Linked DNA regions of Caenorhabditis elegans. The protein of the gene in region 1 purifies or fractionates together with the protein of each later gene. This does not show direct contact. Each region holds a gene or a part of one and is shown in the gene's direction. Other genes may lie near its edges.

Region 1 (6,983 bases):
GGTTTCCAAAAAAGGTAACCAAATGCGAGAAATATTCTAAATACAGTTTTGCGCATATCAGGAAGTGTGCATTGTGGCAGATTTCGAGGGTGTGCACCATGTGTGTCAATGTGGCAATGGACCTGATGGGCAAATCGATATCATACTGCTAACACTGTTTGGAACATTAACTTTTATTGTCACAAATAGAAAACACGGAGAAAAGTTTTCTACATTGGAAGTTGTTGAATCTATCATATTAAGAAGACTACGGTAAAAGGTGCGACCGATAAATTTGAGTGAAAAATCCAGAATGGCATGCAAATCTTGCCATGCACCTTCATATATCCATATCGGCAAATTCAATCGCTTTTACTTTTTGAAATATGTCCGAGGGCATACTTTCACACAATCTCTCTCTCGCTAGTTTTTAATGCAAATTGTAGAAAACGACATGGAAGAGAGAGTGGATAAAGAAGAAGAAGTTGAGATATTCCGGCAAAAAAAGAAACACTGAAAGTGAATTGTCTAAAAAGGGCGAAGAAAGGGGAGGATATGAAGATGAAAACGAGTTAATAGTCTTCCGATGGCCATGTTTAGTCGTTCGAATGGCAGGAAGTCAATCTAGACATCGTGCCAATTAAGGAGAGCTTCATTGGAATGGCAAAAGTGTACACTACTGTTGTTGCGTAACAGGCGGGGAGAAAAAGGCTAAGGGACTAAGATATCAAGGTTTATCACTGAGGACAAGCGGGTTTTTTAGCCTGTTGATTATGGGCGAGGTCGACTGGATAAAGATATGATAAAAAGATCTGAATAGAGGTGATGACAGATTGAGAAAGAGAGAAAAGGCTTCAAAATGAATTGAAAGATATACAGAATTAAAAAAAATCAGGGTGATGATTTAATGTTTCTCTGTTCTTTTTCATCAGAGGAAAGAAAACTGAAAAAAAACTGTGGAAACAGTAAAATCGTAGAAAACGAAAATAGAGAATGAGAGTTTAATAAGATGATTCGAGAATTTCAAATAGTATCCAACTGTGAACATCATTTGAATAATTTCAAAAACAGAAAGGAATCCGGACACTATTGCGGATCAGGTGGATTCTTTGAATAATTAGACTGATCCCGATATTTTCGAATCAAATTGTTTTTGTGATTGATGTTTTGTAAACGTTTTTCGATTTTCTTGATCACTTTTTCTCTATAGAAGTAATACTATCAATTTTGGAATATGTAATCTGCAATTGTAGGCCAAAAACAACAGTTTTCTCTGATTATGAGAAATACGTTTTATTATGAATGCTACTTTTTTTGAGCTCTAAATACCAAAATGAGTTATTTAAAATGTTCAACTACCGCCGTATTTCTAATAGTCTAGCACGCTCAACTGCGTCGGCTCATATCTCGAATACATACATTTAAGTTCATCAAAAATTGATAATTGCCAAAAACATTTATATTTCTCATACTATAGTTTTTAAAATTCTTTCTTTGGTATCTCAAAAATCATCCGAGATAAAAGGTGTCAAAGTAAATTAATGTGTGCAAGACTATTAGAGGCATTCCGGGATGTATCCAGAGGGTTATCTGACTGTCTGATCTTCAGTTATAGTGGAAACATCTTGCAGTACTTTGTGACGTCACAAATGTTTTTCTACTGCTATGTCACAGTAAACTGTTTGTATTCTGTTGTAAGAAGTATTTCAGGGATTTCAGGAAATTGAATAGTGAAGTGTCTCTACCGTATTCCTCTATTTATTAGTATTCTACTTTGTCAGCTTTTATATAAGTTTAACATACAACATATTTTTCATTCGCTGTTCCTATCGTTTGTAGTTAATTATTTATTGATTCAAAATAAGCCTTTCAGAATGATGTAGCAGGATGCAAAATTAATAGAGGTGATACGGTAAGCGTTCAAAACGGTCAGACTCGGTTACTGTAGTTCTAAATGTGTTCACTATCCGCGCATCATGTACGTGATCACGCGTGAATGAGTTTCTTCGTTTTCTCTTGTTTTACCAACAAAAATTGTTTCGTATTCTTCCAACGTGGACTATTTCTATTATTTTTCAAATCATTTCACATTAAAATGTTTTAGTCATCACAATCAATGACAACGACATCATCAGACGAACTTCCTCGACAGGCGGACGACGATTCAATGAAATGGGATCGAATTTATATTCAGGTAAGGTTGGAGAATACCTCCTGCAATGTCCAAAGTAATTGTAAAACACTATTGACCGTTGAGATTATAAAAACTTTTGCGGGCCGGCCGACTGACACAACAAATATGAATAATCCGAAATTGTACTATTTTCCTCGTTCTGTCATTTTCTTCCTTACGTGTCTTTCACTCCGAAAAATGACCTCTTTGAGCACAAAAAGCTGAACTGACTTTGTATCGAATTTCACCCATTTCGCGACTTCTTTCAAGTGTGCACGGTCTGAGAATTCGGTCTAGGGTTTTCACTGCTTTTTCGATTTCTCGATTTTCTCAACTTCTTCAAACATGGCGGCAAAGTTGACCAGCATCTCTGTTGTTTTCTAAAAATAATTTTTTTTTTCAATTTATCTTATAAAATTTTGTAAAACGTATAATTCTAATGATTGCGTCCAAAAATACCTAATGTTTCACAAGACATTCGAAATCAGGTCGGATTTATTTAAAAAAATATATATTTTAAGAGTTAAAGATTTTTTACAAGAGTTAAAAAACGCTGGATCAATTAAATCTGTTCGGTTTTGCTCTGAACGATCACACTTGTGTTTGTCGAGCTGTCATTTCCCTTCTTATTTCCACAGACGAAACTCTCTTTACTCGTGTTATCGAAATGCATCACGCATCAGGAATTTTTATGGCATAATTCTGCCTCCTTATCGATTCGCTCGTTTCACCTATCGTTTTATTTTTTTGGCGCCTTCTGTCCTTTCTCTTCGATTTCCTTTTGATTTGCATTTTCGCTTCTGAAAAATCGGAGCTTGTACAATTTTCATTAATTCAGGTATGGACGATCATCGTTTCACTGACACAATTTTGAGAACAACTAATGTTCAATCTGCGATACAAAGATTTGAGAAACGAGCCCCTGTTTCTGCTCCACCATATCGAGAATCTGAGCCATTCAGAGAAGTTTTGAAAGATGAACCGGCACCACCATTTTTACAAAAACAGAATTCCTATGATTCACCGTTGTTTGTCAACACTAACATTGTGTATCCTGTGGAACAAAATTCATATTTTCCACAAATCACACCTCCACGCGAGCATGTGACATATGGAATTATGAATGATTCCAAAATGGATGATTCTATCGATAGTGCCACGTTGAATAGATTCGAGACTGGTTTCAAACCTTCGAATTTCGGAAAAACCATACAAGGAATTTACAACTCAACAGAGCATCCACAGCAAACACCAGAAGTTGTACTACCATCGAGTTTATCAGTTGATCTGAATGTCATGTCACCTGAAGTGTCACCTCCAAAACCAGCTGAACGGCGGAAGGTGGTTAAACCAATTGAAGATAACAGCGTGAGTCGGAATTGAAAGCAGTGCATTATTATTTTCGAAAAACAATGTGACTCTCATATCAAAGTGTTTTATATTTATGACCGTTTTCGAATAATTTTCCCATTTTTAACAAAAAATGTAGACCTTGGATGGTTGACCAGATACATAAATCATTTTATAAGCATAAAAGATAAACCTAGTTGTACAAATTCCTCTTTCTGATGTCTTTACTAGCTAAATTTCATTGGAAATTTGCGAAAACTGGAAGCAATTTCACTAAAAATAAATATTTACCACTGTCTCTGCAAGTTGTCGTAAGATGTGGTGTTTGCGTACACATTTGAACTCTGAGCTGATGATTTATTTTCTTTTCCGTATTAGCTCAGTTTTTATCATTCCTTCCCCTTTTATTGACAAAATACTCGACCTCGAGTGAATTTTCAATGGATTTCACAAATTTTGGGTCCGAAATTGAGGTAAGCTTATGAATTTTCAACCGAAAACCTTTAAAAAATCTGTTTGTTGAGGGTTACAGTAGATATTTGCTCGGCACAAAAGTGCAATTGTGTGTAGTGTGTGTTTTTTAGTACTCTTTCCGTCATAGTCAAATACTAGTTTTGATTCCGATTCGAATTCAGGCAATTAGAGAGTGAAATTGTGTCGAATAATTGAGTGTTCCATTTCTGAACTGATACGCCACCACATGCATTCAAATTCAATTTGTAATGCCAATCACATTGAAACAGAAATGTTTTACGGGATTCTTATTCATTTCTCAATGGTGTCCTCATTCTGGCGCTTCCTTCCTGAAGTACGTCTACGTTCTCTTCCGTACGTCGTTCCAATGAATTTGTATCCGGCGGACGCGTACTGCGTGATGGTGGGAGGGTAGCCAACCGAAGCAAAACGTCCTCTCTCGTTCGGTTGACGAGGACTGTACGGCCGTCTGCCATACACTAATCTGTCGCTTTTCTCCTCATTTTCGATGCATTTTATCCTTCTGGAGTGGGGGCTTCTAATCCAAAACTTCGCTCAGCATCTCCCATTCTCTTCGATTTGTGTCACTTTCCAAGAAATTTATGAATCTAATCCCATAACAGATGAAGATGGTTTAAATGTGCGAAGTAATCATTCTTCTTTCAAAATCGTTACTACGTTGGAATGCAGTCTGTTTGCTCAAAACGTTTAGTATCCTCCTCCTTTATTCTCCCAGTTTCTCGGCCGTTTTTTCAACTGCTCGGAACGTACGCGATTTGCAAAATCGGACGGTTTTTGATCAGGCAGCGGTAATTAGCACTCTAATACCGTTCACACGTTCTTTCTCCACGTTTGAATACACAATTGCAAAGACTTTGTATTACTTGTGAAATTATTTATTTCATGACGTTTGTCGTTTTATTGTCAACTGCAATCGCCACAAAATATTATCTAGACGTTTCATGACTCTTTATGCTCCGGTTCGATATTTTTTCTTGGAATGGACACGTTTTCCAGCCCCACCCTTATTTAATCTCATACATATGTCTGATTCCACATGAACAAATCGAGTATTGATGCTCCAAAATCGCTACACTTGGGTTTCCTAGCCTATCCCGCTTCTTTCCTTCCCGCACAGACCACCACAGTTTCGGAATGTTTGAACAACACGGTGTGCTGCTGTTGCCGGTGTGACAGCGGCCCCCCGATGGACGGGAAATATCGAGAGATGGTGAGAAGCAGAAATAGAGAAGAAATTGTACGGAAGAGTACAGTTTGGTGGTGAGAGAAGGCGCAAGAATCGGACGGAGGTCTAGTTATGTTTGTAGTCCCAAGGCGTGTATTATATTCAGAAATGTGCTTATACGTCTTGTGAGCATTGCTTAGCGCTTAAAGTGATTTTAAATCGTTCGTATAGCTGAAATTTAATCGAAAATTAAAAATTTTCTTAATATATATTGAATCTCCTCTCTGTGTTCATTTTAATCACCTGTAGAAACGCATAAAGAGTAGAAAGTGAAAAGAGGGCGGGCAAGTTAAGTGTTTGATTCATCATTAGGCGCAAATATAGTTAGGAGCATAAGAGGAGTGTCGTGTGTCTAATCAGCAACTAGTCATACTCTGCAATCTACATACCACGCTCATTTTCTATCGATTTCCGTGTCTCTAACACCGTTCTGTTTGAAAAAAACTGTTTTTATTTTGGAGAAAGAATTTTACTATACAATTCAGCTTTCACTATGACGTTTGCTAATTCTGTAAGTTTTTTTGCTTCATCTTTTAACTTGCTTCATAAGCATAATAATTTGAATTATAATTGAAAAATGTTATTGGCTGTGCAGCCCTTTCTCTTTTTCTCCGCAAAAAATTAGTTTTAATAATGGTCTCGATAATCTTTTTTCTTTATCGAAGAAAATATTAAATGATCACCACACTTTAAAAATGCATTTTATTTTACATCCTCGTATAGTTTTCAGTATGTCTGTCGATATTTTAATACTATTTGAGTCACATTTGGGTTTGTGTACATGGGACAGTCATAAATATGAATCACGTCTCGCATATCGTTTTTTTTGTAACTGGTTTTTCTAACAGCACAAAATCATTATTTATTATTTCAATACATTCTACAAATTTTGAAAAAAAAAACAATTATTTTTTTTTCAGAAACTGGATCCTGAGGTGATATTCACAAAGCAAGAGCGCATTGGTCGCGGCTCTTTCGGCGAGGTTTATAAGGGTATTGACAATCGAACTGGACGAGTTGTTGCCATAAAAATCATTGATCTTGAACAAGCAGAAGATGAAATTGAAGATATTCAACAGGAAATTCAAGTGCTCAGTCAATGTGATTCACAGTATGTCACCAAATATTTTGGCAGCTTTCTCAAGGTATTTTTTTTATAAATGAAACTTTAAAAAATCTAAATTGTTTCTGTTTTATTTTTGAAAATTTTTTAAGAAATACAACAAAAAAAAGATAATAAAACCAATCTGAAACATTTTTGAGCACCTATTTGAGTTTTTTTTTCAATTACACGAGCAAAATAAATTAGAGCAGCTTTAGTTCTATTTATATTGATAAACTTTAGCAATTTGAAAAGTAATCAATTTATAGTCACAATCACAACAATTTTTCATGAAAAATTCAATTAAAGTAATTTCGTTTCCAAATTTGAGTTATCATTATTTTGGCTCAGCATGTTCCTCGTTAATTCACTAGAGTTTACCATTTTAAATACCATGTCTTACAATTTTTTCTATTTTTCAGGGATCAAAATTATGGATCATTATGGAATACCTCGGTGGAGGCTCAGCGCTCGATTTAACTAAAAGTGGAAAGCTGGACGAAAGTCATATCGCTGTGATTCTTCGCGAAATTTTGAAAGGTCTCGAGTATCTGCATAGTGAAAGAAAAATCCACAGAGATATTAAAGGTGAGCTTTTTTAGTTTAAAATAATTTCCAAATTAAATAAAAATTCGAACATTTTTAAATGGTTTTTATTT
Region 2 (8,221 bases), on another chromosome or scaffold:
ATTGCTCTTGCAGTAACTGATTTCATTTTTGGAGCTCTTTTCAGTAGTGAGCCGGAATCTGGTGTATTCCGTTTCTCATCTGAAAGAATTCGAGTGAATGCAGATTCTCATTATGAAGCTGTTAATTGCTCAATTATTGGTATTCCACGTCAAATTCCTGAGCAATCATTCTTCACAGTTTTCGGAGTATTCTTTGCCAATTTCCTAGGAGTCCTGGCGGGTGTAAACATGAGTGGTGACTTAAAAGATCCTCATAAAAGCATTCCACTTGGAGAATTATCTGCTGTTGGTGTCAGTTCTACAATCTGTTTTATTTTTATTATGATTCTTGGTGGAGTTGGAGATAGAATGTTCCTACTTTGTGATGTCATGATTTCTGAAAAAGTTGCATTGACTGGAATCGTTTTCCTTGTTGGATTATATGTTTGCTCACTTTCGTCAACTGTTGGATCACTACTGGGAACACCTAGAGTTTTACAAGGCATAGCTGAAGAAGGAATTATACCATGTTTGAATGTTCTTGCGAGAGGGGTATAGTTCATAAGGACCTGCGCAAAAATTATTTTTTTATAATTTCAGGTTGGACCCAATGATAATCCTGTTTTAGCTGGATATCTTTTAATGGGTGTAGCATCTTTATTCGTACTTCTAGGAGATCTCAATCAACTTGCCATTCTTTCAACAATGCCTTTTTTGATAACTTATGCATATGTCAACTATTCATACGTATCACTTGCAATGAGCTATGACCTGGCTACTGTACAACATGCAGATGAAGTTGAAACTGTCGGTTACGGATCCACGAATAAGATGAACGATCTGAATGAGCTGTTTCCCGAGCGACGAGATGTCAATATTACAAGCACTGAGGAAACTGAAACTGGAATAATTTCCCAAGAAGCAACATGGTATTCCATGTTCAGCAACAGATACGTGTCTTTTCTGGGAGTGAGTGGTACATATCTTAAAGTTTTTCAAGTATTTTTTTCAGTTTCTGGTGAACTTGGCAATCCTTCTCTTAATTCATTTCTGGTTTGCTGTAGCTCATTTTGTCGCTCTCATCGCGTTGTATTGGTACATTGGAAGAGTCTGCCCAACTTGTGGTCCGGGAATTTCAACTTTCTCGTTATGTCACATGTTCAAAACAGTGTTTTCTTCATTAGATTCTTTGCGATCAGGTGCCACAACAATTTTGCCAGAGGTGAGAACGAATTTTTGAACCAGGATTAGTTTCTTTTTTTCAGACAACATTTACGAGCGGCGTATCGAGTTCCCAACAAAACGAGGCCAATCCAGATTATCAAGACAGACGACAATATCATCACTCGGAGAATGTTTCTCATCAATTAGATTAATCTTATTAACAATAGAAACTATAATTCATCCTTAAAACCTTAAATCGCTCCAATTTTGTTAATAAAAACTTTAGAAAATATACGTTTCCAGAAGAGAAAGTTTCACAATAAACTTACAATTATATGAATTAATGTTTTCAATAGAATGTGATTTTGCACAATTTAAAACGTACATTCAAAGTCACAACTGTTTATTACAACTGCGAACAATAACAATAACAGAAGATCACCACTTAGATGTTGGATGGGTAGAGAAGCTGAAAGAAATCAATGTGCAATTGAATAAAACTAGAATTATCTTACCACGCGGATTCTCTTTCCGAGGGCACTTGGTGGGATGTTGTGATGGAACTTGGCTCTAACGGCTCCGGCGTTTCCGTGTGGGCGAGTGATCTTTCCCCAGATAGCACGGGTACGGGTGGCGACGGTGTGTCCGGTTTTCTAAAATGAAAAAAAAATTAAACTGAAAAATATATGTGCGATACCAAAGTCTTGTTGTGGGCCTTGTACAAGTAGACGACGCGCTTTCCGGCGTAGAAACCAGCATCTTCCTTGTTGAAGACTCCCTCAAGCTTCAAAAGCGAGGTGTGCTCGGATTGGGTGCGAAGTCCTCTCTTGAATCCGGTGAAGATGGCTTTGACGTAAAGACTGAAAATTAATTTATTATTATTTTGTTGATGTCCTGATTTGTGAATTGCTGATCCGAGAAAATGGAAAAAAATGCCGCGGATTAGATAAGACTAGAAATAGTTAGGATAATGCTACTATACATTTTTTAAAGACTATATGAAGAATTTGCAGTCTGAATATTTTTCAGCAGAGCTCAAAAATATCCAGCGGTCACTGATTAAAAAAAAAAAGCAAAAACATACCGTCCAGTAGTTGGGGCCGATGGTCTTCTAGCAACAGCGGTGTCAGCCATTTTTACCTGAAACGAAAATTAATTTAGTGAAGAAGTTTAAAGTGGACGGAGAAACGAAATAGCGACGAAATAACAAATGAACATTTTTCAGATAACTGTTTTAACAATTTTTATGAGACTGGAGAATAATTGCGAAGAATAAGTAAGTTGAAACTTTTTACAAAAAATCGAGATTTAACGAAGTCCTAAAATCAAAAAGTGGTTTTTCGTAAATGATCCAAGTAAGAGAACAGCGGGGAATAAGATAAACATGATAATATTGATTTTATTACAAAAATATCCATTTTCTGCTCAAAAAATTCGTAGGCCAGCATGAAAATTGGTAAAAGAAAAGAAAAAATTCCGTAAAACGAGTCGAGGCGCAAAATAACTACGGTAGAAATGCCTGCACATCTAAACGTTAAAGCGGAGTGTCGTAGTGCGTGTTGTTTAGCAAATTGCAAAAAATATTGTTTTGTTTTTGCTTTCCTGTTTTTTTATATAATAGTTTCTTACGGAATTTGCTTGCGCTTGACAATTGAATAAAATACTCATTTTTAGTTCTACTGAACGAGAAAGCCGAATGTAATGGGAATCAGGCCTAATTTTGCAGAAGACGGTGAGAAAATGAATATATCATCAAATAAACCTCCTAATAGTTCCAGTTTATGGTGACAAAGAAAGGCGAAGTGCTGATGATGAACATGTTGAATACTCCGAAAGCTCACTGGCCGCAAGACGATCAGCAAATGTTTTGAAATTGAAGCAACTGAAAGAAGCTCAGCCTATGATAACTCCAGCGTATGGCGGATTCATTCATCATGAAAGCTCTGATAATGTAATTTTCATGAAGAAGTTGAAAAACAATACAGTTTTGCAGGTTGCCGCCATTGATAAAGATCTAGATTTCGAGTATGGTGACGGTGATGCAGGAATTCGTGAAATGGCAGAACTTTACAGTTATTCTGAAATAGAAGAGTTCGGTATTAACATCAGCAACTGGAAGGAATATATAGAGGAATCATATGCAAGCGATTTTACAACAGGAAAATAGTTATTTTTCTTTTACAGGACGGCAAGCACGAACAGTTTCCATCGACATTCGAAGAATTTAGTGCTGTCCAAAAAAATTATGTTATTCAAGACCTTTGCTCTCGAATGGAAAGTGCAGATTTGGAAGTTCGTTTGAAATCAGCTCGTATAATTCTCTTTCTGCTCCAGGTTTGTCTCTCATTTGTTATTCGATATATATTTATTTAAATTTCAGGGATCAGCAACAGACTTTGGATGTTTAGAAAATGAGGAAATTGAATATCAGTATGATCAAAAATTGTTGATGAATGTCCCTATTCGAAAAACCAAAGAAATGGACCCTGAGGGCCCTTCAATGGTCTACCATCGTGCAATCGAGAATTCTTTCATTTGTTATAAGAACGGCGTTTACCAGGTATATCTTTATAATTTTCAATCATTGTTTTAAAAATGTACATTTTCAGGCGTTGTGTACTCTGTTGATGACAGAAATTAAAGAACCATTTGAGAGCCCACCGAACGACGGGAGAATTTCAAAAGCAAGCTCAAGAAGTAGCAGGAATGCCAGTTTAGCCGATCTCTCGGATTCTGAAAAATGGAGAACGCGGCAGTTGCCAACTATGGTTGATAATGAAATGCTTCGCGTAATTCTCGCTGGACTTTATCATATGATTGTTCAAATTCTCGATGAGCGATCTGGAAGAGAAGACGAAACCGATAGTGATCTTGAAACCAGAAAAGCGTTTCGCGAAGAAGTTCAAGAACCAATCGAAAATGGAAATGAGCCTCTTCTTATTGTACTTTTCGACATGCTTCATCCGTTCTACATAGGAACTGCACCACATTTTCCAATTAAAAAGATTGTCCTGCTTATCTGGAAAATTTTATTGCTGACGCTTGGAGGTTGGGAGGAGCTTACTGTTCGTAAAAGAGAGAAACGAATGACTGCTGGCCTTGATATAATGGAGGATACTATAACTGTAGCTGCATCACAGGCCGCATTTATCGCAAAAGACCAAGAACATGTTCGTAATATGGCTCATAGAGCTGGAAGTTTTGCGAGAGGCGGTATGATGGCCCGTCAAATGGCTTATAATGATGATTCAAAAGACGAAGACGCTTATTCGGAAGCGAGCTCCGAAGACTCAACGATTGCTTCAAAGAAAGAAGATTCTCCAGGCGCTTCATCATCAACCCCACCCTCCATTCCTGATACTGCTTCGAATTTCAGACAGGGAAGTGGTGAGCAAACACCACGAGTTGGTTCCCCAGTTTTCCCGGTAATCCAGAAGAAAACTCTGCCTTGGAGAAGCAAAACGAACGCTCAGGATATTGAAGATTTTATTCAAAAAGGTCGTTTCAAGTATTTCAACTATGATTTTGACCCTGGAGATGATACAACACTTTTTGGCTTGCCTCCTTCCTTCTGTGGAGCTGTAAAAATTCTTCGAAATAACATGTACACGTCACTTACAGAATTGCAAGTCAAAAAAGATGAAGAACTGAATCGCTATCTATTTTCAATGAAGGAGGATATCCCAGAAACGAAAACCGAAACATTGTACAGGAAAATTTTGCCAAATTTGAGTCAATATATTTGTGCTCTGGTGAAGGTTATGGTTTCGTCAGTGCCATCAACGAAAGCACGACATGAAGGTTTAAATGTACTGATTGATTGCTTAACGCCTGAAATGGAAGCATCTGATATTTTATCAAACTCAATATCCCTCGATAATTCAACATCTTCTCCATTGGAGGAAGGATTCCGACTTGCCATTGACATCAACCGCCATAAAGAGATTATCGTTAAATCACTATCAGCAATTCTTCTTTTGCTAGTTAAGCACTTCAAGCTGAATCACATTTATCAATTCGAATACATTTGCCAACAGATTGTATATGTGAATGGAATTCCCTTGATTTTAAAGTTTCTCGATCAGGTATGTCACTTGTTGCTCTTTTGCAAAGTTCCAAAAGCGATCTTGCCTCACCAAAGTTCATTTGCCGCTCGATCTATCCATCGCCCCACCCTTTTCTCTGCGTTTCTCATTCTTCAATGAGTGGCATGTGAAATATACGTGCAGACTTTAAAAATTGAAGCCCTTCCCTTCAAAATCAGATTCTTCTTTCTGCTTTTCATTTCATTTTGTTACAGAACACAAACAAATTAATCCAATCAAGACATGAAATCTACGCCTACAACTATCCACAATGTTTGTACCATTATGTCAGAAATAATGGTGAGTCTTAATTATTCCAAACTAAATTTTTCGTATTCCTTTTTCAGAAGAATGGCCAATTTTGACTCAAGACAATATAGAAGAACCACGTCCACCTGGCGCTGGCCCGTATTTCATGTGGCGAAATGTTTTCTTCGCAATCAATCTCATTCGTCTACTCAACAAATTGGTCAAAGCTAAAAACGATCGAGTTAAAATGCTGATGGTGTTCAAATCTGCTCCAGTTTTGAAGAGACTTTTCAAAGTACGAGTATCGGTACTACAACTTTACGTGCTGAAAGCGATCAAAATGCAATCACGATACCTTGGACGCCAGTGGAGAAAAAGTAATATGGACATAATTTCGGCGATCTACTCGAGAGTTCGACATCGAATGACCGATGATTGGGCGTTTGCTTCTGATATCAAGAGAAAGTGTGATTATCAAAAAGAAGACAGTTTGATCAAAGCAAGCATCGAAAGATTCCATAGTAGACGATATTCGGCATTATATCCTCAATTTGCTATTGGTAAGATTAAAATAACAAAAGCTTATAGCAACAAAAATTAAATTTTCAGAAGTGAATGATGCTCCAATGCCTGGTGACGACTACCTGAATCGAGTTGATATGAGAGATTTTGAGCCCGTTGACACGTGTGCTCACTCTGTTCTTGGTGCAAATCTGAAACTTGGACGTCATTTTAAGAAAGATTACGAAAAGTGGCTTGAACAGGAAGTCTTCAATGCGAGTATTGATTGGGATAAACTTCTGATAGAGACACGTGGAGTGGAAGATCTTATGTAAATCGATTCGATCCCGTTTCCACTGAACAAAAATCTGTAAATAACTAATTATTAGTTATTAATTCTTCTTTAACGATAAAAACGAGTTCATCTTTATTGTTCCCTTGTTCCCCAATGATAACTAACTTGTAAATCGAAATTTTGTTTGAAATTTTAGATCTCCCCATGCCCCCTTATACTTTACCAACCATCATTTTTCGAAAATATTTAATTTTTCCTTGTCAGAACCAATAATTGGACTAAAACCGAATGAATTCAATTGTTTACATAACATCGTTGTTTTGTTATTTTGATCATTGAAACGTTTCAACACTTGATATCTCTTATTTCTATTACTATGCGTTTTACCAAGTCTATCTTATTGTTTCAGATGGTAGTAAGATCATTGCTTCGGGTATCCAGACTCACTTCAGCTAGTTGTAGGTGAGATTTATTATCGTTAATATCAAGAAAATAGAATTTTCAGACACGCATCGTTAGCAGTATCTTCAACTCCAAAACCCTATATTCCATCAGTCACTGGAGTTCAGAAATCAATGCCATTTGATAATCTATTAGAACAATATTCTCGTGTTCATTGGGATGACTCTGTCACATATGATGATCCAAATGTGCAGAAACTTTTCAAATCATTGATGAGCGGAAGTCGAGCTGCCCTGGCTTCTGCAATCACACTAGTTGAATCTCGCCATCCGACAAAAAGAGCACAAGGAAATATGTTGTTGAAGATGGTTTTAGATGAAGAACGAGAGAAATACAAGAAATTCGGGAGAGATTCTATGATATTTCGAGTAGGAATCTCTGGTAGTCCAGGAGTAGGAAAGTCGTCTTTCATTGAAGCATTAGGAGCAGAATTAACCGAAAATCGAGGAAAGAAAGTTGCAGTTTTAACAATTGATCCCACTAGTGCCATGACGGGAGGATCTGTTCTTGGAGATCTTACAAGAATGCAAGAATTATCTCGTAATCCCAAAGCCTACATTCGTCAATCACCAACTTCTGGATCGCTCGGTGGTGTCACTCGTGGAATTCATGAAGCTGTGATCCTCTGCGAAGGTGCTGGATACGATATTGTTATCATTGAGACTGTTGGAGTAGGTCAATCTGAAACATCCGTTTCCGATATGTGTGATATGATGTGTCTTCTGTTGTCACCTGCTCATGGAGATGAATTGCAAGGTGTTAAACGAGGTATTATGGAGATGAGTGATTTGTTGGTTGTGACGAAAGATGATGGAGATTTGAAAGCGAAAGCCAAGATGACACAGGCTGAATACATTTCCGCGTTGAAATTCATGCGACCACGACTCGATGTATGGCGTCCAAAAGTTATGAGATCCTCAATTATGGATAAAGAATCTGTATCAGAAGTTTGTTCGAGTTTGTACGAATTCTGGGATACAATCGGAGAATCAGGAGATTTGGAAAGAAGGCGACAGGATCAAATGAAAAAATGGATGTGGAATCATGTTAAAGACGAAATTATGTCCGTTTTCCAAAAGCATCCGAAAATAGCACATTTGGTACGTTTTTGTTCTTAAAATACACCATCAAAACGATATTTCAAAAGAATTTGCAAAAAATATAATACTGAATTAAAAAAAAATACTGTTTGATAAATTCTAAATTTTCAATTTTACAGGCACCGAAACTGGAAAATGAAATTCGAAGTGGAAAAATCACCCCTGGTCTGGCTGCAGAAACAATGATCAGAACGTTCTTCGGCGTCTAGGCAACTCCTCATTTTTACCCCTTTATAACTCTACATTTGTAAACCACCTGTTCAATTGCAATTTTTTATTGTATTTTCTCGAGACTCACCAGTGTTTAATGTATTCATTAGATCCAATGTATTTAGACTTTTTTTTTGTGAATTTTCAAAACTAGCCAATCTTCTAGCCATAAATTA
Region 3 (8,572 bases), on another chromosome or scaffold:
AACCAGAAAACCAAGTAAAGTAATAACAAGCATCAATGTTCAAAAAGTGTGAAAAATTTTCGGAACTGAGGAAACTTGAAGTTAGCAACGTTAGCCGTTTTCTCGGAAGAAAAGGTTGAATGGGAAAGTGTCTTTCTAGTTCGTTTCAATAAATCGGTGACCTGAATATTATTGTATTGTGTGTGTAGTCGTCAATGAGAAGTATCCAGATAGAAGGCAGCTTCTTCTTCGTCATCTTCGTTGACTTCTCTTTTCACTCGATAATTGCTCGCTCGCCTGTCCGGCTAATGAACCCCTCGGAATGAAAGGTAGAAAAAGAGAGAGACTGTGCCAAATGACGAACAGTATCGAAACATGTTTCGGTAATTATATAACCGTCAAAAAGTTGAAAGAAATTCTGAATTGAGAATTTTTAAGCAAGAGAAAAATTCGTTGGGTTTTTTTTTTAATTGCATCAAGGTTGCAACTTAACACACACACAGAGAACAGAACAAGAGACTCGTTGTTCACCTCATAAGTCGTGCACAGAATTAGTAAATACAGGGTGGGCCAAAAGTATGGTAACACGTTTGCAGCTCTATAACTTCACGTGTGGAGGGAGTTATTACATCAATGTGTACAAGTTTTGTTCTCCATAAAATACTGACCAGATTAACGTTTTGAATTTTCAAAATATCCCCATCCGCATTGCTGCAGGCCTTCAGAACTTTTGAGATCACGATCTTTATGGCACGCAAGTCGGCATTCTGCGGGATTTCTACATTTTTCTCGAGGAATCCATCAAGTATCTTACAAGTTTTTATAGTTCAAAGAATGCTCTTGGTCTGGAGATTCTTTAAAAACAAAAATCCAAAAAATTTCTATCGTGGTATTTCTGTACGGACTGTGGCAGTAGTTTAGGTCTTGAATGACACAGTCGCCAGAAAGATGGATGTGAGCGGCGGCACCAGTATTCATTTTAGTACTTTTTGGCACGGTTTGACCTGAATTTTCAGAATTTTTAGAAAAAAATTAGCTCTGCTGATTTTGTGGGTCGTTACGCCTTGTGAAACCAAAAAAACTGAGTAAATTTCGGAAAGTTTAATTCATGAAATATTCAAAGGTTCTTGCTAGGCGCCAGTGTCGACACAGAAAATTTTTATATGCTACAAAAACAATCAAAAACGCTTCTTCATTTCTTTAACTTTCAATTTAACATAAAAATCATACATCTGAAAATTATTGGCGTGCGTGGGAGGTGCGTTTGTGTGGGAAGTGCCGCGTGCCAAAATGCCGTTTTAAAAAGGGTTCGCCAAATTGCCGAGGTGATTAAAATCGCACCTTATTGGGAAACATTACAAATTTTGGGTCAAATTGAAGGAAATTTATTCAGCTATCAGTATTCGATAGAAAAATGTACGTATGACGTGGCAGTCGCGCGAAAATCTCATGTAAAAGAGCGCTTCATGTGTTACCATACTTTTGGCCCACCCTGTATGAACATGGGTTCGTACCATGGAACCACAACGAAAATGACCAAAAGTTCCATATTTTTGAAGTCCCACAGAAAGCTATTTATTTTCTACCAGTTGTTGCATTACGTTTTGATTATTTGTATTTGAGCATTGTGTTGTCAATATTATAAGAATCATACCATTTCCACACACACACACACACACATTTTACATAAATAATTAGCTAAATTTATGTAAATTCTCTTGATAATTTACAAAAAGAACGAGCAAAATCGGTTATTCTTATTATTCCTGACTCGTATCGAGTACTCTTTCTACTATAATATTGCTCTTGGTTTGGACATTGTGGAGAACACAACAATAAGCAAGAAGATTGCCATAATCAGGTAAAACTAAGGCTGCAAAGGGGGCCTCTTCGATTTTAAGATATAACTGAGTTTTTTGAAAAATCTAAAACGTTTAAGGTTGTCCAGAGCAAAATTTGCATAAACATTCAACAACTTCACTATCAGTTTCAAAAAAAGTTGATTTTTCTCGTAATTTTTTTTCATTCATTTTACAACATTTCCTGAATGCAATTTTATTTATAAAATCTGCCACGAAGCAGCCACCGTTCGTAAGAGACACCTCACAAATGTGAGAAACGCAGACAAAAAAGTCAAAGGCACGCCGACTTTCCCGCTGTGGTCTCGATACGATCGGGGCTTTCTGAGTTGGCGATGGATGCGCCTCTACCTTTTGAGTGTTCTATCGTTTCGCCAACGTATCTTTTGATGAATTTTAAGATTTTCTTCTAAAAAAGATTAATTTCGGTTGATTTAAACATCTGAATTCTAAAAATCCAGAATATTATCGATTTTTGAATGTTCTTTCGGTTTTATTTTATTTCTATAAGCTGACTATTTGCAAATCTTCCTCTTCGTGCTCAGCTTAATTTTACATTGAGTTTATTTATTTTAGCTTTTTTTCAGAACAAGATGCCTCTCCGACTTGATGTAAAAAGAAAGCTTCTGGCTCGTTCGGACCGCGTGAAATGTGTCGACTTGCATCCAGTCGAAACATGGCTTCTAGCTGCTCTTTACAATGGAAATGTTCACATCTGGAATTACGAAACACAAACGCTTGTAAAGTCATTTGAAGTAAGCTTTTTTTCAAATTTATGTGCAAACTTCATGAAATTACGAAATAACTGAATCTAAATTTTGCAGGTGTGTGACGTACCAGTTCGTGCAGCGAAGTTCGTTCCAAGAAAGAGCTGGGTTGTCACGGGATCTGACGATATGCATATTAGAGTTTTCAACTACAACACATTGGAACGAGTTCATCAATTCGAAGCACATTCTGATTATCTCCGATCGCTCGTTGTTCATCCAACACTTCCCTACGTCATTTCATCATCCGACGACATGCTTGTTAAAATGTGGGATTGGGATAACAAATGGGCAATGAAACAGTCATTCGAAGGGCATACTCATTATGTCATGCAGATTGCCATCAATCCAAAAGATAATAACACTTTTGCAACTGCTTCTCTTGACAAAACTGTCAAAGTATGGCAGTTCGGATCGAATGTTCCGAATTTCACTTTGGAAGGACACGAGAAAGGAGTCAACTGTGTCGATTACTATCATGGTGGAGAGAAACCATACATTATTTCTGGAGCTGATGACCATCTGGTCAAGATTTGGGATTACCAAGTAAGTTTTTTTTCTCTTTGCATTCATCCAAAATGATATTTTCAGAATAAAACGTGTGTGCAAACGCTCGATGGACATGCGCAAAATGTGTCTTCAGTTTGTTTCCACCCAGAACTGCCATTGATAATCACAGGATCCGAAGACTCCACTGTTAGATTGTGGCATGCAAACACCTACAGGCAAGAACATTAAAGTACGATTTCCACAACAACAATTTAAAATTTTTAGACTGGAAACAACCTTGAATTATGGGTTGGAACGTGTTTGGTGCATCCAAGCTCAAAAAGGAGCCAACACTATTGCCATCGGATACGACGAAGGTTCCGTCACGTTGAAATTAGGCCGAGAAGAACCAGCAGTCAGTATGGATTCGTCTGGAAAGATTTTGTGGGCAAAGCACTCCGAAATTCAGCAAGCTAACCTGAAGACAATCTCAACTGAAGAGTCGGAAGCCATTCAAGGTTTGGAAAACTTTCATTCGACTTTTGTATAGTTCGGCACATGTTTTCTGAAAGTATTAAAAAAAGAGAAATTGTGTTCATTTATTATCACTCTAAGACAGTTCATTTACAGATGGAGAACGTCTGCCGCTTTCTGTAAAAGATCTCGGATCTTCTGAAATCTATCCACAAACCCTTGCTCATTCATCTAATGGACGTTTTGTTGTCGCTTGTGGTGACGGAGAATACATTGTTTATACTGCAATGGCTCTCAGAAACAAGGATTTCGGACAAGGACTCGAGTTTGTCTGGGCTGTTGATCCAAATATGTTTGCTGTCCGTGAATCTGCCACCAATGTGAAGATAAAGAAGAACTTCAAGGATCACAAGTCAATTCGTTCAGATATGGTACTTGAGGGAATTTCTGGTGGACCACTTCTTGCCTTGAGGTTTTTGAACTCTTATCAATTGACTTTTATTTAATTTTTTGTTTCAGATCGAACAACTCTTTGTGCTTCTTTGATTGGGAATCAGCCGTTCTTGTTCGTCGTATCGAAATTACTTCCAAGAGCATCTATTGGAGTGACAACGGAGAGATGGTCGCAATTTGTGGAGATGATTCATTCTACGTTCTCAAGTACAGTGCTGAAGCAGTTGCCAATGCAACAGAAGTGACCGAAGACGGTATTGAAGACGCGTTTGAGGTTATTGGAGAACAGGCAGAAGCTGTGAAGACGGGATTCTGGATCGGGGACTGCTTTATTTTCACCACTGCACTCAATAGAATCAACTATTATGTCGGTGGAGAAATTGTCACTATTGCTCATGTTGATAGACCACTTTATTTGGTGAGATTTTAAAACATGCGTTGTTCTTATCATTTTTAAAACTTAAATATTTTAGTTGGGATACATGGCTAAGGAATCTCGAGTCTATGCCGTCGATAAGGATCTCAACGTGATCTCATACAAACTTCTTCTATCTGTTCTTGAATATCAAACTGCTGTAATGCGCCGTGACTTCGATACTGCTGACAAGGTACTTACTACAATTCCAAAAGAGCAGAGAACTCGTGTTGCTCATTTCCTCGAAAAGCAAGGATTCAAGAAGCAGGCTCTTGCGGTCTCTCAAGACCCTGATCACAAGTAAGACAATTTTCAGCTTTTCAGCAATAATTTTGGAACGTTTTCAGATTCGATCTCTCGGTAGCTCTTGGAGATTTGAAGACTGCCTACGATTTGGCACTGCAAAGCGATTCAGAAGAGAAATGGAAGGCTCTCAGCAACGCCGCCACTCTTAAGTCGGAACTTCTTCTTGCTGGTGAATGTCTTGGAAGAGCTCGCGATTTCGGAGGTCTAATGCTTCTTGCAACGTGTGCCGGATCAGCTCCTCTTCTTCAGAAACTTGCGGATGACTCTGCTGCTGCCGAAAGCCACAATATCAGCTTCCTCAGTAGTTTGCTTCTTGGAGATATTGATGCTTGTCTAGACAAACTTATTTCGACTGGTCGCCTCCCAGAAGCAGCGTTCCTTGCTCGAACACATGCGCCGTCTCGAGTTTCATCTATTCTTGAATTGTGGAAAGCCAAGGCTTCGGGACACAGCGAAAAGAGTAGCAGAAAGATTGGAGAATCTCTTGCCGATCCAGTGAAGTATGAAAACTTGTTCCCTGGATTTACCCAATCACTGAAAGCAGAATCTTTCGTTCGTGAGATCTCCAAGATTCCAGTCCCAGCATCCGTTCGAGTGCCATCAGCTGCTACCCGGAATATTCAAGAGGAATTGGATGAAGCTGTTGCTTCGGGAGCAGTTTCTTTTACTGATGATGGCCAAGCAGTACTTAAGAATGCCCCAAGACAAACCGAGACACAATTGAAAGCTCCACCTCCTCCATCAGTTGCACGTCAACCCTCGCCTGTACGCCAGCCATCCCCTATTCGTGAGCCATCACCGATCCGCGAACCTGAACCTGAAGAAGAGGAAGAACAGGAAGAATTCGATGATGATCAGCAAGAGGTGCATGTTCCAGCTGTACGTTTTGAACAGTTTTTTATTCATATGGAATTTGACTATTCGTTGCTAGAATCACCAATTTATTTTCAGAATCAAGAAAGTGCCGATGCTCATGGAACATCTAAAACTCCTGATGTTGTTCTTGAGACAAGCCGGCCTGATATTGTCCCACCACGGGGGTCCGCCGCTCCAGATTTGGTTTCCGCGTCTTCACAACAATCTGCTCAAGATGTAAGTATTTATTTATAAATGTTTTGAAAATTATATAAACTGCGAAAATTCAATCAATTAATCCAATTACAGTTCCAAGATGATACGCAATGGTCAGATGAAGATTTTGGAGATGCTGAAAATGGAGACCTGAATATGGACGATCTAAATTTAGACGAGGAAGATTGACTGGTAGTCGATCGATCTGCCCAACAAGATCAGAAAGACTGAGTATCAGTGTTATTTTTTTGTGTATGTAATTTAAGCCCCCCCCCCCCCCCCTCCCGTCCTATCAATGTCCCCATTCCATCCGTAATTTCATGCACAATTTTTTGACGAATGATTCAGAGCAGATCGATCGATAGATAATTATTTTATTTTTCATGTTTCACCCCAAAAAGAGGTTTTTTTCTAACCCATCTGGTGTCGGTCACTCTCTAACATTCTTTGGGAAATTGTTAATTAGTATTATGGGAATGTGATAATGTTTTTCTTATCAAATAATTATGTAATTTATAGTGTTTTTGGCGCACTCGTCTTTTTTTGTGATTTTTATTTCTACTGGTCACTCCTGTCGTAAGCTCCCTTTGCCAACTATCCACCCAATTCATCCCTCCCCGTTTTCATATTTCTGCCTTCAAAATCACATAACTTATTGAATTTTTATGTTTATCGCCCTTTCTGATTTATAAGTAAACACTAAGTTATTTCCAGCTTTTTTGTGCGGTGTTTTTTGTATTCTAGGGGTTTTCTTCGAAGTTTTGTTCTATGGCTTTTTCCACTTCTACTATCATCCTCCCCAAAACTTTCGTGTTAACGAAAAAATGATGTAATGAGAGTTTTATTGATTGAAATGATTTTTTTTTCTTTTAACCGTGTTTGAATAAACGGAACAGAAAGTGTATGTGTGGCTGATCAGGAACAATTTGTAGATATTTATGTCTACACAAGTGATAATCAAAAGGCACTTCAAAAAAGGAGCAAAATGATAAGAGGCGTCGAGCCGATTTCAATACGGAAAAAGCGTATTCGGCGACAATCCGATACGATTTTTGGCACGGAATCCCATTTGACGAGGTTGAGCCGAAACTGAACGAGCTTCTCTTTCCATTGGTGGCTCTTCAGTATGTCTTGAAATTCGTTCGGAAGATTCGCTTCGCCGCTTGTTTAATGTTTCCGACTCGACGCCACCCCGTCAACTGTCTCGTGGTTGGCTTTGTTCTTTCTGAAATGATCATGATACTATAACAATATGATATAACATGTCGAAATTTTGTGAGATTTCTTTAAATAACCTAGTTTTTCAGTTCTCATAAATGTTTATTTTTGAATCTACACATTTCACATTTCCTTGATTTTTTACGATCCATCACTCATACGAAAACATGTGATTAATTTTGTCCCGCTTTCTCAAGGGGACTCCAAAAATTGTATATAATACTCAATGTATGCTCCTTTGCACGGAAATCTTTAGTAAAAGGCGAAAGATTTTCACGGTTAAATGCAGAGGAACCAGAGTTGAAGTGTTAGCTCTCCTCTTGAATTAGAATGAATACATGTGCGGACATTCTGCGGGTTTCGCCAACGGTTGTATTACCTATGGAGAAGGGACGGGACAGGCACCATAAAGTGGGAAACAATACTCACTTGTTTAAGATATAGAAGAGATATATTTTGAGCAAAACTTGTTGGAAATGGTTCAAAGAATAGAAATAATTGACGAGACGATGAAATACAATTGACTGCAATTCGAGTTCTGAAATAAAATTATAATAATTAGGGTATTGGATATCATGAGATTAACCTCATTTTCGGAGGTTTGTCGTGTTGCTTATTTTTGATAAATTCATCCAGATAAACCTCTTTCTTCTTTTCCATAAAATTAATCCGTTTGAACTTCTGCAACTTGAAATTAAAATTATTTATATATTTTTTGAAATTAAAAATGAAACCTCCGCATCTTGATTCTTGAAACTTGGAACCACTACCAAAAAGTTATCATCATGGCGGTTATGGCTTGCAATATACCGGTATACAGCTGAGATCTGAGCAGTCTAAAAAATTAAAAAAGGTTTATGGTTCAGTTGAAAATTTAATTTGGAAACTCACCAAATTGTCACTTGCTCTACCCAATTCTCCAGCATTCACTAACTTCAACTTGTAATATGTTAGATCAATGTCATCGTGTGCTGTTTCTGAAAAAAACATTATTGAGAATCATTTTAAAACAGAAATATAATTACCAGTAGTGAAACAAATAATGTGATCATCTTTCCTTGTCATTGTAAATCCAAGTTTTAATAACGTCTCTCTCGTGGTGTTTACAAGATTTGGAACGGCTTCTGCTGTTAATGACATTGATACAACTCGACTAGATTTACGAAAATATTGAAGAAATGGTTCGGCACATGTATGATATTCAGCTATTCTTTTCTGGAAATTTATATTTTGAGAAGAATTAATCACACGAGACACATAGATTAATCTGATAGTTTTTAAACTAAATGAAAATAACAGAATATTAATATTAAAACAAATTAATAAAGTGACTTACTTCTAATTTACCCCTATCAATATCATCGGCTCCTCTCATCATTTGATTCAATTCCGGATTTATTCTTTTGCTGTCTTCGTCTTTTCCTACAAAATTAATTGGTTTAATTAATCAATAAATTATAAACTGATAAATGAAATTTGGTGTCTATGGTATTTTGAAACAATTAACTTATGTAATCACAAAAACCAAAAACGTAAGTTTT
Region 4 (5,911 bases), on another chromosome or scaffold:
GATGCTCAAGTGTGCAGGCGTGGATTCCCCGGTAGAATGGATGGATTCTGAAGATCCGCTATTTATTCTCTACACATCGTTAGTTCAGAATTAGAATTTACTTATTTCTCATTTAATTCAAATTGTTAATTTTCAGTGGCTCAACCGGAAAACCGAAAGGTATTCAACACACTACAGCTGGATACATGACGTACGCCTACGCAACCACAAAATACACTTTTGATGCACAAGAAGACGATGTTTACTGGTGTACTGCCGATTGTGGATGGATCACCGGACACTCGTACCTTCTTTATGGACCTTTGATGAATGGGCTCAAGGGAATTTGGTATGAAGGTGTGCCGACTTATCCGACTCCTTCTAGAATGTGGGATGTCACTGATAAGTATGGTGTGACCAAGCTGTATACCTCACCAACAGCCGCAAGAGCTCTTATGGCTCTCGGAAATCAGTGGCTTGAAAGGTAATAATTATTCAAAAATAATTGTTCAGCATCTTTATTTTTAATTTTCAGCTCTTCTCGCAAAACTCTCAAGGTTATCGGAACAGTTGGAGAGCCCATCAATCCTGCTGCATGGATGTGGTTGTACAAGCAAGTTGGACTTTCCAATGTATCCATTGTGGATACTTACTGGCAAACTGAAACTGGAGGACACATGATCACATGCCTTCCAGGAGCAACTCCAATGAAGCCAGGAGCAGCTGCAATGCCATTCTTCGGAGCATCTCCAGTTCTTTTGGATGCTGAAGGTCGTGTTATTGAAGGTCCGGGAGAAGGATCACTATGCTTTGATCGTGCCTGGCCTGGAATGATGCGTGGAATCTATGGAGATGAGCAACGCTTTGTCAAGACCTATTTGGCTCCATTCAATGGATACTATTTCACTGGAGATGGTGCCAGACGTGATGAAGATGGATACTTGTGGATAACTGGACGTGTTGATGATTTGATGAATGTCAGTGGTCATCTTCTGTCTACTGCTGAAATTGAATCAGCTCTTGTGGCTCATGAGAAAGTTGCTGAAGCTGCCGTTGTTGCTGCTCCACATGACATCAAGGGATCCTTCCCATACGCATTCGTCACTTTGAATGTTGGAGAGAGAATCAATGAAAAGCTTGTGGCTGAGCTCAAGAAACTAGTTCGCGAGAAAATTGGTGCATTGGCTGTTCCAGATGTTATCCAAGAAGCTCCAGGACTTCCAAAAACTCGTTCCGGCAAGGTTACCAGAAGAATCTTGAGAAAGATTGCTGAAGGATCCGAAAGTGGAATCGGTGATACTACTACTCTAGTCGACGAATCTGTCATCAAACAACTAATCTCTGGACGTTCTGCACGTGCATAAACGAACTTGAACAATTGTAAATCAATTCAATTCTTACTATTAATGTTACTTTTTCTGTATTACTTCTCTTTTCCCCCTCTATCGTTGTAATTTCTGCAGAATCAATGCAAGATCTAAACTTTTAACCCCAACATGACCTTCTTTGTAATCAAGATGCATTCCCTGATTGACTCCTGTGTAGAATTAAATTCCAGTGTTGTAATTTCCCCCAGTAATTTATTGAACCCTGAATTCGAAATTAGAAAACAAGTAAATGATTCAGAACTGATTAATTGTTTTAACTCAATTTCAGATTTTCAGATAACAATTTTGGCTTATTCGGATAATTAAAACACGAAACATGAAATTACAAGAAGAAGATTAAATACTTACATGGAGAAATGCATTTCATATGCCCAGTGAATCTGATGTTTAGCTCAATTTTTATGAATTATGATAAAAACCACGAAAGTTCAATACAAAATAATATTTGATTTAACTTGCATTGCAAAATTACAGGAAAATGAATTATTTTAAGCATAAAGTGTGTTGTTTTGATAGGCCGTTTGAACAAAGCAAATCGATTTTCTTGATTATATAATGATGCTTCAAAATAAAACTTGATTTACATGAATATTTCCCGTTAAAAAACAATGTATTTAAAAACATTATTATTTGCAGAATCTCTCCAACTGCGAAAGAAATCGAATTCAAACAACCGCGCTTGTCGTACACTTGTACACTCCGCCGCCACAGCTACGGTAAAAGCGTGTTTTGCGACGCACAAGTGTGCGCCGAGTGTGTGGGTCTCCCAACGCCTTTCACTGGCCTAAACTTCATTTCAATTTGTTTTAGCCTAAAATTTTCATGTTTTTTTCGAATAAATTTTGTTTTTTTACGTGCAATTCTAAATTTAAAATGTTCAAATTAGTATCTGTCTAGAAAAGTAGTTATTTAAAAAATTTTTTAACCGAAAACGCAATTTTTATTCTTTGTTCGCTCATGCTTTTTCTATAATTTTTTCGTAAAATTAATATTTTTCAGGGTACAACAATGTCTCACCGAAAGTTTTCGGCCCCGAGACATGGACACATGGGATTCACCCCAAAGAAGCGCTCCCGCACTTACCGTGGAAGAATCAAGGCTTTCCCAAAGGATGACAAGAGCAAGCCAATCCATTTGACCGCTTTCCTCGGATACAAGGCCGGTATGACCCATATCGTCCGTGATGTCGATAAGCCAGGATCAAAGGTTAACAAGAAGGAGGTTGTCGAAGCCGTCACCATCGTCGAGACCCCACCAATGGTTATTGCTGGAGTTACCGGATACGTCGACACCCCACAAGGACCACGTGCTCTTACCACCATCTGGGCCGAGCACTTGTCCGAGGAAGCTCGTCGTCGCTTCTACAGCAACTGGTTAGTTTATTTTTCAACTATTTCGTTTTTTGTATTCAGTGTTATGGTGCGTTTTTGGTGTCATTTGGTGGTTTCGTGATTACAAGTCTGTATTTGCAGTCGCGTTTCTAAGTCGGTTGCCTTCCGCTGTACTTATGTACATGATGGTAAACGAACTGAGTGGCTAAAGCGTCCTGTACGCTGAAAGGCATTTTGTTCGTAATCGTAGAAACTACAGGGCTAAATCCAAGAAGAAGGCTTTCACCAAGTACGCCAAGAAGTGGCAAGATGAGGATGGAAAGAAGCTCATCGAGGCTGATTTCGCCAAGCTGAAGAAGTACTGCTCTTCTATCCGTGTGATCGCTCACACTCAGGTAATATTTATATTTAGTTTGTTTGTATTCTTAAGTTATATTTTGCAGATGAAGATCCTTCGCCGTCGCCAAAAGAAGGCTCACCTCGTCGAAATCCAAGTCAACGGAGGAACCATCGAGCAGAAGGTCGACTGGGCTCGCGAGCATCTCGAGAAACAAGTCCAGGTTGATACCGTCTTCGCTCAGGATGAGATGATTGACACCATCGGAGTTACCAGAGGTCACGGATTCAAGGGAGTCACCAGCAGATGGCACACCAAGAAGCTTCCTCGCAAGACGCACAAGGGTCTCCGCAAGGTCGCCTGTATTGGAGCTTGGCATCCATCTCGTGTCGCCTTCACTGTCGCTCGTGCTGGACAAAAGGGATTCCATCACCGTACCATCATCAACAACAAGATCTACCGTATTGGAAAGTCTGCTCTCACTGAGGAAGGAAAGAACAACGGATCCACCGAGTTCGATCTTACCCAGAAGACCATCACCCCAATGGTTCGTTTTATTTTTTTCACCGTTCTATGAAGAAAAAGTCTGCAATTCGTACTCTGTATGGCGACTATATTTTATCTGAGAACATCGGGCGTTGTAATCAATTTTCATGAATTTTTAATAATTGTTTTGTTTTAGGGAGGATTCCCAAGATACGGTATCGTCAACCAGGACTACATCATGCTTCGTGGAGCCGTTCTCGGACCAAAGAAGCGTCTTATCACCCTCCGCAAGTCGCTCATCACCCAAACCAAGAGAGTCGCCCACGAGAAGATCAACCTCAAGTGGATCGACACCAGTTCCAAGACCGGACACGGTCGCTTCCAAACCACAGCCGAGAAGCGTGCTTTCATGGGAAAACTCAAGAGAGATTTCCTTGCCGAGGCCGAAGCTAAGGCTTAAATTTGTTTATTCAAATAAATTGTTATTGTTATCAAATGTTTCTTCACTGTTCACATTTTGAATACACTTTGAGTATGCTTTTTTGTTGAATCTGAAGGACTATGCTGCTTGTATTGAAGAATAATAATCCGAAACATTCATTAGGTATAACATTAGAAATCTGGAAGGGTGTTAGACCCGGTAATTGTTAAGATAAAAAGTTCAATTTAAAGAGGGAGTTAAAGGGTTCGAATTTGATGGGTTCCTGAGTTGGGGGTTGATCGACTATTACACGTTGCAGGAAATAAAACAGAAAAAGTGAAACGAATGAAACAGATGGAGATCGGAATATATAAACAGAAAGATTATAAGAAAGTGAAGTTTCAGAGTTTTCTTTTTGGTTTCATAAAGACATCAATCACATAATTTATAGAGATTATTACAATTATTATTATTATTTGCAGAAAACGGCAGGGCATTGGGTAAATGAGGAAGAGAGAGAGACAGTTGAAATCATAGATTCTACGCTTTGAATTTCCAGTTTTTTGTGGAACACTTTTTTTGAGGTTTTGACTGATTTAAAATGAGGGTCAAATACATTAAAACTTTCGTGTGGGATGATTGAAAGACATTGGGAGTTTGATATTTGATATTGGGATGGTTGAAGAAAATTGGTTTTTTGTTGGAAAATGGATAAAATGAACCGGCACTTGATGTATTGATTAAAGAAGAGACTTAATTCCGATCGGAAGTTGTGGATGCAGAAGGCTGAATTTTCCTTCTCGTCGATGTTGCACGTTCTTGTGATCCAGTTGGTGTAACTGAAAAGACTAAAAAAATTAAATAATATACCAAGTGACGATGTTTCAACAACTTACACGTTGGCGTAGGAGGTTCCATTCTTGGTCCACCGATGCTTCTGGATGGCCCAGTACGGCTTACTGTATTTGTGGTCTGCCACCGTTGTTGGGTAGTTTTTCGGGAGATAGAAGGCATCTGAAAATAAAAGATATAATTGATAAAACCTTCGAAAATCGAGCACATAAAGAGCTATAGTAGTCACTAAAGGAGGTACTGTAGTTTTCTTTGTTACCATTACGTATTCTCAAATTTTTGTGCTCGTGCAATATAATATTTTGTGAATAAACTCACTTCTTTGGTGGTCGGTGTCGTTCTGTTCAACTCTCCAGTAATAAAACGTACAACTTTTGCCATACATGCATCCTGATAGTCGTGAACCCATTTAACACCATTATACTTTGTAATCATTCGAATATCATTCGGAATTTGATCTTCTTTTGTTGGGAATTCGAATGCAGTATCAAAGATTGGAATAATGTTCTTCTGGTGTTCAAATGCACATTTCAGCTCTTTGTGCACCCAATCCTCACAGTTATCATCATTTAAAAGTCTATCCAAACTGTTTGGTGTGAGAACAAGGATGAAATGTTTGGCGGCTTGAATGTTCTTGAGCAATGAGCTGTCGAATTTTCCAGCATACAACTTATCGACATCAATGAACACTCTGTATCCGCGGAGTTGGAGGAGTACTTTAATGAGACTTGCGAGTTGGTTTCCTGTACTTCTTCTGTATGAAATGAAGACATCAATTTGCTTGGAGAGCATTGCAACTTCCACGTCATCCGGATGTTTTGCGGTTTCAAATGCTTGTGTCAACTTGAGTCGATGAATCGGGTTCGTGATTCCACAAGCGTTTTGCATCATTTCGTCGGTGAGTGAGGAGAGAAGAGACCGGTTGACTCCATTTGTGAGCATTTGGTAGGTGTAAACAGAAAGTTCTGGACTTAATCCCATCAAGAAGTTGTCCAAATTCGACTCGTCAACCGATGAGTAATCAGCAGCAACTTTTAATGTTTGAAGCTCTCTTAAGAATCGTTTTCGATGAAGTCCAGAGATCATTCCAACATCATGCTTCAGATCATTCTCAGTT

The links.
Region 2: the proteins of gck-1 (region 1) and farl-11 purify together in Caenorhabditis elegans (affinity purification with mass spectrometry, with the first as the bait; one large-scale study listed by BioGRID). This does not show direct contact.
Region 3: the proteins of gck-1 (region 1) and copb-2 purify together in Caenorhabditis elegans (affinity purification with mass spectrometry, with the first as the bait; one large-scale study listed by BioGRID). This does not show direct contact.
Region 4: the proteins of gck-1 (region 1) and rpl-3 purify together in Caenorhabditis elegans (affinity purification with mass spectrometry, with the first as the bait; one large-scale study listed by BioGRID). This does not show direct contact.

The regions. Positions count from the first base shown.
Region 1 is NC_003283.11:8,945,716-8,952,698, forward strand, and holds the start of gck-1 (Germinal center kinase 1), read left to right. Parts: upstream 1-2,988; 5' UTR 2,989-2,992; coding exon 2,993-3,520; intron 3,521-3,769; exon of another isoform or gene 3,770-3,942; coding exon of another isoform or gene 3,943-3,975; intron 3,976-4,268; exon of another isoform or gene 4,269-4,530; intron 4,531-5,022; exon of another isoform or gene 5,023-5,715; coding exon of another isoform or gene 5,716-5,733; intron 5,734-6,142; coding exon 6,143-6,367; intron 6,368-6,746; coding exon 6,747-6,912; intron 6,913-6,983. UniProt on the Caenorhabditis elegans protein: Serine/threonine-protein kinase which is required for normal oogenesis and suppression of germline cell apoptosis. Inhibits phosphorylation and thus probably activation of mpk-1 during pachytene stage.
Region 2 is NC_003280.10:7,099,625-7,107,845, reverse strand, and holds farl-11 (DUF3402 domain-containing protein), read left to right. Parts: upstream 1-2,810; 5' UTR 2,811-2,844; coding exon 2,845-2,875; intron 2,876-2,915; coding exon 2,916-3,094; intron 3,095-3,136; coding exon 3,137-3,283; intron 3,284-3,327; coding exon 3,328-3,477; intron 3,478-3,523; coding exon 3,524-3,703; intron 3,704-3,752; coding exon 3,753-5,228; intron 5,229-5,443; coding exon 5,444-5,528; intron 5,529-5,575; coding exon 5,576-6,037; intron 6,038-6,086; coding exon 6,087-6,313; 3' UTR 6,314-6,628; downstream 6,629-8,221. Other genes in the region: F10E7.9 (Amino acid permease/ SLC12A domain-containing protein), read left to right, coding at 1-531, 580-948, 992-1,201, 1,245-1,355; rpl-35A (Large ribosomal subunit protein eL33), read right to left, coding at 1,589-1,612, 1,659-1,796, 1,841-2,003, 2,228-2,277; mmaa-1 (Methylmalonic aciduria type A homolog, mitochondrial), read left to right, coding at 6,683-6,735, 6,779-7,835, 7,955-8,044.
Region 3 is NC_003282.8:9,457,306-9,465,877, forward strand, and holds copb-2 (putative coatomer subunit beta'), read left to right. Parts: upstream 1-2,425; 5' UTR 2,426-2,431; coding exon 2,432-2,593; intron 2,594-2,662; coding exon 2,663-3,151; intron 3,152-3,196; coding exon 3,197-3,330; intron 3,331-3,379; coding exon 3,380-3,612; intron 3,613-3,724; coding exon 3,725-4,040; intron 4,041-4,087; coding exon 4,088-4,439; intron 4,440-4,494; coding exon 4,495-4,736; intron 4,737-4,783; coding exon 4,784-5,621; intron 5,622-5,693; coding exon 5,694-5,834; intron 5,835-5,906; coding exon 5,907-6,002; 3' UTR 6,003-6,715; downstream 6,716-8,572. Other genes in the region: cutl-17 (PAN domain protein), read right to left, coding at 1-33; F38E11.6 (Adenylate kinase), read right to left, coding at 7,009-7,038, 7,461-7,569, 7,618-7,718, 7,766-7,867, 7,923-8,008, 8,057-8,246, 8,368-8,453. UniProt on the Caenorhabditis elegans protein: The coatomer is a cytosolic protein complex that binds to dilysine motifs and reversibly associates with Golgi non-clathrin-coated vesicles, which further mediate biosynthetic protein transport from the ER, via the Golgi up to the trans Golgi network.
Region 4 is NC_003281.10:3,865,488-3,871,398, forward strand, and holds rpl-3 (Large ribosomal subunit protein uL3), read left to right. Parts: upstream 1-2,366; 5' UTR 2,367-2,375; coding exon 2,376-2,740; exon of another isoform or gene 2,741-2,742; intron 2,743-2,841; exon of another isoform or gene 2,842-2,957; coding exon 2,958-3,093; exon of another isoform or gene 3,094-3,095; intron 3,096-3,141; coding exon 3,142-3,582; exon of another isoform or gene 3,583-3,584; intron 3,585-3,717; coding exon 3,718-3,981; 3' UTR 3,982-4,100; downstream 4,101-5,911. Other genes in the region: acs-19 (Acetyl-coenzyme A synthetase), read left to right, coding at 1-78, 137-463, 515-1,343; tir-1 (ADP-ribosyl cyclase/cyclic ADP-ribose hydrolase), read right to left, coding at 4,696-4,790, 4,839-4,956, 5,113-5,911. UniProt on the Caenorhabditis elegans protein: The L3 protein is a component of the large subunit of cytoplasmic ribosomes.